Daphnia pulex: one gene and its partner. The protein of the gene in region 2 purifies or fractionates together with the protein of the main gene of each other region. This does not show direct contact. Links are inferred from orthologs where the notes say so. Each region holds a gene or a part of one and is shown on either strand. Other genes may lie near its edges.

What was found.
Region 1: the proteins of NEDD8-conjugating enzyme Ubc12 (region 2) and COP9 signalosome complex subunit 6-like purify together in Homo sapiens (affinity purification with mass spectrometry; 3 studies listed by BioGRID and IntAct, counting the BioPlex papers as one, with this or other methods). This does not show direct contact. The link is inferred for Daphnia pulex from reciprocal best matches to the Homo sapiens genes UBE2M and COPS6.

What each region holds. Positions count from the first base shown.
Region 1 is NC_060019.1:12,303,527-12,307,191, reverse strand, and holds COP9 signalosome complex subunit 6-like, read right to left. Parts: upstream 2,022-3,665; 5' UTR 1,934-2,021; coding exon 1,780-1,933; intron 1,720-1,779; coding exon 1,591-1,719; intron 1,531-1,590; coding exon 1,216-1,530; intron 1,150-1,215; coding exon 956-1,149; intron 889-955; coding exon 745-888; 3' UTR 670-744; downstream 1-669. Other genes in the region: probable transcriptional regulatory protein FMG_0893, read left to right, coding at 2,109-2,255, 2,327-2,339, 2,409-2,655, 2,727-2,863, 2,925-3,151; 60S acidic ribosomal protein P0-like, read right to left, coding at 3,503-3,665. UniProt on the Homo sapiens protein: Component of the COP9 signalosome complex (CSN), a complex involved in various cellular and developmental processes.
Region 2 is NC_060024.1:11,931,629-11,934,948, reverse strand, and holds NEDD8-conjugating enzyme Ubc12, read left to right. Parts: upstream 1-1,505; 5' UTR 1,506-1,680; coding exon 1,681-1,783; intron 1,784-1,860; coding exon 1,861-1,955; intron 1,956-2,025; coding exon 2,026-2,232; intron 2,233-2,345; coding exon 2,346-2,459; intron 2,460-2,531; coding exon 2,532-2,558; 3' UTR 2,559-2,682; downstream 2,683-3,320. Other genes in the region: ran GTPase-activating protein 1-like, read right to left, coding at 24-296, 361-495, 549-728, 788-975, 1,044-1,158; importin-7-like, read right to left, coding at 3,121-3,200, 3,275-3,320.

The DNA of each region.
Region 1 (3,665 bases), on a different chromosome or scaffold from region 2:
GATTAAACTAGAGCCATGATCTTTTATTTTTTTACCTTTTTCTGCAATGTTGTGATTACACTGTCGAAAAAGGCTGCTGCCAAATAGGAAAATTCAACCAGAATAGCCAAAAAAACCAGAAGCTTACTGAAAAGCTGTTAAATAAAGATGTCGTTGCGATTATGATCGGCGTTGTAAATCTGTACCTACACATTTTGGCATAATATTATAACACATTTTTCCAGTGTTGTCAAAATGAATTGGAAAAAAAGATTGGAATCTGAATCAAATAATTTTAGATGCCAAAATTTCCTTTTTTCTGTGAGCTCAACTACAATTAATTTAAGTTATATTGGATCACGAATTCATTAAATAATTTTAAAAATTACAAAAAAACTGCCAAACAACGAACGATATTGTTAAGTCGAGTAAATCTTTAAATAACCAACATCTTGGCTAGGACCCATAGTTTCGATGTAAGCTAATCTCCAGTGTATCGGATTTGCCGGATTTGTCAAATCCAACAGACTGCTAATCTCATACTAACACTCTGTATTAACAAAGGACGCCTTAAATTACGAGGCCAATAAACTTAAGAAAAATAATCCATATGGACTTGATATTACACTGCCATGATTAAGCTGACATTTTCAATACACACCTTGGATGGAAATGTAGCTGAAATGGGAATCTTGATCAAAACCAATATGTATTAGGTAGGGCACAAAGCATGTTTCCTTAAATATGTTATACAATGCTCACAATTCAGAAAAAGAGACCACGCATTCGGCGACCCATTATGCCTTGACGGTCGCAAAGTATGTTGAATTTGGTGACAAACTGGTGAAGGTCGTGACATGCTTTGGTAATGGATGCCAAATAGGTTTGCAGCAAGACATCATTGTATTGCTACAAGACAAAAGAAAACAAGATTAGAAAAATCAACCCAATTAACAAAGAGTTAAGATATAATTACGGTGTAATATTCCTCCTGGAAAATTTCAGAGTTGAGGACAGGTAACCTGTGGGTCAGAGATTTAGCTTCGCGTAAGACTTCGTGAGACTTTGGAACCTCTCCTCTCTCCATGGCTCGAATGTATTCTAATATCAATCGCACTCGGTTGGCAAGCATTTTTACTGCGTTGTGTTGGGCTTGCAATTGTTCCGCCACTGTTTAAAAAAGAAAAGTATGTCCATGACAGTTTCATAAGGATAATGTTAATGAATTAAAATTACCTTGAGAACTTTCAGCTGAATCACCAGAAGCCATTCTAGCAACATGATCAACTCCAATTCTTTCTGCCTCTTCTGTGGCCAAAGTATAAGTCAATTCAACAAAGAGCATAGTTGCCTCTCCATTGACAAGATCAATTACAGATTCATACATTGTTACAGGGAGGTCAGCATTTCGTGTAAAAGGATTAAGCTTCAAAATTACAGGACTTTCGTTAATCTCACATATTTGTTTGTGGACATGAATGTCAGATTCATTGGGAGCATCTCCAGTGGTATACCAGCCAAGGAAATCCATATCACTAAACACTTGCTTGACTAAAGATAAAAAGAAATTATGAAGAACATTTAATAAGTAAAGAATGGGAAATTTCATACATTGCTCCTCTTTTGTGTTGTAGTAATCTCGGTCAATTACCACATTCTCAATAACAGTGAAAACCAGTTCAAAGGAATTCATGATTTCTAGGCTTCTTCCTTTCTGCTTTCCAATGAGTGCACCAATCACTATGAAATTGTGTATACAAAATAAATAAAGAGTTAAAATGTACATCACATAAACATTACCTTGCTGTGCTTTCCCTTCCTGGGCTCTCACTCGAGTCCAATGTTCAGATATATTCATCACAACCAAGGGATGCAATAAAACTGATATACTTCCTGTCGCCCCCGATGAAGCCATTACATGGTTAACATTCTGATTATTCTCTTCAGTCTCCATTGTTTTATTCAAGAAAATCGAATATCAGGAAGTGATCTGCGTTTGAAAAGAAGAAGTTGAAAGCGTAGCAGTCGACGTTGTAGCGAGACTAAAACAGCAGACGAAAAGATATTTACCGGAACTGCATTTTGTTTTCTTTTTATAATAATTCAAAAAATATTAACAATAATTTATCATGTTTCAAAAGATTCGTTTGGGTATTTTGATTCCGCTCTCAAGAAACATGGCTGGGCATAGTAAATGGGCCAACATCAAACATGTGAAGGGTGCAAAGGATGCTGAAAGAGCAACTTTACATCTAAGAATTTTTCGTCAAATTAGGGTATTTTGAATTTGTGTTCTCATTATTAGTGTAACTATAACATTTTCTTGAATTTCAATCACAACAATCAGGCAGCTATTAAAGGTTTGTATACTGAGTATTAATTTTTGGTTGAAACAAAGTTTAGCATTAACATACAATTCTTTGTTGCAGAACATGGCTCGGCAGATCCAAAACAAAATATAAAACTTAGTCATCTTGTAGATCAAGCAAGGCATCATAATGTGCCCTCTGAAAAGTTGAAACATATTCTAAAGAATGCTGATCAGTCTACTGAGGATTTAAAACCTTATGTTATGGAAGTAAGAGGACCAGTGGGAACCTTTTTCGTGGTAGAAGTTCTCACTCCTAGTTATTTGAAAGCAAGACAAGGCATCAATACAATCAACAGGAAATTCAAGTAAGTTTAAAATTACTGGTAAATGTAGTGTATGAATTGACTTATAAGTAATAATAATCCTTTCTTGTCAGTGCATCATGGGCAGAAGGAGTTTCAAACAATCTGTTTAACCATCAAGGATTAATCAAGGTGTCACCATTATCTATTGGCCAAACTATTGAGCAAGTACTTGACGATGCTATTAACGTCGGGGCGGAAGATGTAACAGGTATCATTCAAGTGAAATATATACATTATGCAATTATCCGAAATTCTGTGGTAATTTCTAGCTGATGAAGATGGCAAGTTTGTCTTCACATGCAGCCCAAGGGATTTTTTGAATGTCAAGAGATCTGTTAGTCAGCTTGGCTATTGCATAATAGAATCTGACTTGCTCTATATCCCACGAAATAGAGTTCAGATTGAATCCGAAGAAGACTTAGCATTAGTTTCTAAGCTCTATAGTAAGTTGGAAGAAGAGCCCGATGTTGTTAAAATTCATGATAACATTGAATGAGATATTTAATACATATTGTAAATTCTTATATTTTGCGGTTTGAATAAATTAATGCAAAGTGCAATTGAGTATGCGTCCGAATTACTTTTCATTTATTACATCCACCCAAACGCCGCGTACCCGCTTCAAGAAATTATGTCAATTAATGCAGAGGAAACTTGAACCTTATTAATGAAAGAATCGTTCAAGACAAACTGGGATATCAAAAGAATAAGTTAAGCACGAATCATTCCGTTAATCGTCAGTTTATTACAGTTCATAAAAGTATCCGCGGTACATGAGTCAAAGCTCACCATGTAATAACATTTCATCAACTGTAAACAGAACTGGATCAAAATCTGACAAGAGCGTCTAGTCGAAGAGACCGAAACCCATATCATCATCCTCTTCTTCGGATTCTTCTTTCTTTTCCTCCTTCTTGGGAGCAGCAGCAGCAGCGGCGGCCGGGGCGGCGGAAGCAGCAGGAGCAGCAGCAGCGGCGGCAGCAACGAACTTGCTGGGATCCTTCAAGAAC
Region 2 (3,320 bases):
ATATTGACATCAACAAAAATTACCTTTAAATGCTCATGTCCGGATGACAATGCCTTGGCGAGGAACTCAGCCCCCTTGGTACGGATCAAACAGTCTCCAAAGTTTATAACCGACAATTGCTGCCATTTTGGAAGAGCTTCTGCAACAGCTTGTGATCCTCTCCAGGTGAACGTGTTATCATTAAAGTTAAGAATTTTCAGGCCAGGGTTATAAACAAGCGCACTGGCCAATGCGAGAATACCAGGATGTCTTATAAAATTTTGAGGCATCTGGACTTCTTCCAAGGTTCCAACTGCCTAAAAACAAATATGCTGTAATTAAAATAATTAAATAATTACTGAAAATAAAAAAAACAGTGACCTTGAAAAATTCTGACAGAGCAATCGCTCCTTCATTTTCAAGTCGATTTCTTCCAACAATGAAGGTTTTCAGACTCAATGGAGAACCAGCCTCTTTACTGGCTTTAAGACAGTCATTTAAAGCTTGGGCAAGCATCTAAAGTAAAAGGTAGCAGTATTATGATTACAAATAAATGGAATTTTAGTTACCCGTCCACCATAAATTCCAAGGCCATTGTTGTTTAATCTTATACATTTTAGAGAATAGCAGACAGGGCTTTTCAAAAACTGAACAAGACCTTCCATACCAACTGGACCTAATGCATTATCACTCAAATCTAACTCAATTAAGTTAGCTTTAGCCAAAATGAGTCCTCCTCCTAAGAAACTCTATTTAAATAAACGGTGGTTAATACTGTTAATCGTCACATGCACCACAATCAAATTACCAAAGCTTTTGGAATTTCATCTTTCAACCGGCCAGTAAAAGCATCTTTCCACAGTGCTCTCTGGAAGGTTGGTTTGGATTCTAATGCTTTGGCAATAGCCTTGGCGGCTTCAACACCAAGAGTGTTTCCTTCAAGGATGAGACCTGTCAAACCTTTTGCAGCCTGAATTGCATTAACAATAGGTTGGGCTGTTGAAAAATTCCAATAAAAAGAACTTTAATCCCATTTATAAAGCAAACATAAAATCAGAACAAACCGTCGGCTTCCGTATCTAACTTGAGTCCTTTCCCGCTAAAATCTACTATTTCTTCTTTCGCATTCAAATTATTGGCTTCAGAGTCTCCATTAAACTTAGTCACTGCCCCATTCATTTCTTCGAAGTTGTTGGATGATTTTTATCAGGTTCAACCAAGATGACACTCTAAAGTGTAAGTGTAGTATTATTTTCTATTGAGACAAAAATTCACGTGTCTAATTTGAACGCTAACAGTCGGTTTATCGACTCCCTCGTACCCTCGAATTCCCAAGCAGAAATTTCTCTTTGTGCAGCGTTTTCACATTTCAAAAATAGGGTAGGCCTATTGACTTTAGAAAAATGAATTGTTAATTACTATTCATAACTAAATTTACACCTAACAGTATTTAATATTATTTTTAATTTAAAAAAATCAGTTGTATCAATTGGATTTCTGGCAGCATAAAAAAATTTATATGGAATTGTTTTTGACGTTTCTCCAACAGTCTGCTGTTTAGTCCTCTCAATCAGCAAAAATTTCCCATCTGTTCTGTATTGGGCCAAATAAAATCTAGACTGGTTCCTCTGTAAATATAAGAAGGAAACCCCTGTTAAGTTTTCCCAAATTTGTAGATCTCGTATTTGTGGAGCCGACATCATGATTAAGCTTTTTTCTCTTAAACAACAAAAGAAAGATGAAGTTCCAGGTCGGGCAGGAAATCAAAAGAAAGCATCCGCTGCCCAGCTGCGTATCACCAAAGGTCTATTGACTAAAAACAAGTTCTGACCTTGTGACCCGTGTTCCATTTATTTTAATATTTGTTATAATGTCTCGTAGATATTAATGAGTTAAATCTACCCAAGACTTGTCAAATGGAATTTCCTGACCAAGATGACTTGCTGAACTTCAAATTAATCATTTCTCCAGATGAGGTATTACGTATTATGAAATGCAAAATATTTATTTGATTTATAAAACTTTTTTATAATTATTCTGTTACAGGGTTTTTACAGAGGAGGGAAATTTTCTTTTAGTTTCAAAGTTGGTCCTGGTTATCCTCATGAACCACCCAAAGTGAAGTGTGAGACACAGGTGTATCACCCGAACATTGACCTTGAAGGTAATGTGTGTCTTAACATTCTACGAGAAGACTGGAAGCCAGTATTAACAATCAACTCCATAATTTATGGTCTGCAGTACCTTTTCCTGGTGAGCTCTTTTTCTCAGTTCATTGAAATCCATCTTGTTATTAGTAGTCCTAAATTCCCTAGAATTGATGTATGTTGGTTATTTTATTTCACTGTTCTTGTGTGATTTTCAAGGAACCCAATCCAGAAGATCCATTGAATAAAGAAGCTGCAGAAGTACTTCAAACAAACCGGCGATTATTCGAAACAAACGTCCAAAAATCCATGCGAGGGGGATATGTTGGTTCGGTAAGCTAAATTACTTTGAAATCATATTTAAAAATAACACAATCTTGTTTTGAACCTAATTGGGGAAAACAGGTTTATTTCGAACGATGCTTGAAATAACATCCGAATCAGATACAACAAAAAACGAATGGCTCTTTTCAACTTTGATTTCAAACGATTTTTAACATGGAAATTTTCATGTGCAGAAAAAATAAACATCCGCGTGTTTTGCGTTCCATCATTAGTTTTTTATTAAGTTTCATCATTCAGCTGTAATTTTTTCTTGAATATCCATCACCGTTCTTTACTCGATATACGGAACGATACACGGTTCAAGCAGAAGGAGGAAGGGAATGGATGACTAGGCTTTGCTACTGATGAGAATAGAAAGTATCGAACTATTCAGTGTTCCTACTTCCTACAAAGAGCGCATTATCAGCAGTTAGATTAACCTTCCCAAGCAAAGCCTAAATGCACAACACAAAAATTCCCCTCCAAAAAAAAGGCAACCAAAAAAACAAAACAAATGGGCAATTTAACCTAATCAGACAGATTCAATAAGAAAACCAGGCATTGATGAAAAAAGGTCAAAGCACAGCTATCAATAAATGTGATAGTGACGGATGTTATCAAATAGAACCATATTGATAAGGAATTATACGATAACGTTAGTAAGAAACATTCATCTGCTAAATGGTGAAGTAGACCCATTTCCTCCGAAATTAAAAGAATCGGGAACCGTTTGTTGGTTGAAACTGTAGCCTGAAGAATTTAAAAAAAGAGAAAAAAAAAATTGTCTTATGATTATCATTAACACAAATCTAGGAAATTCTTACCTCCAGCCTCTTCAATCCGCTTACTTTCAGCGGCTGCGCGTCGTTG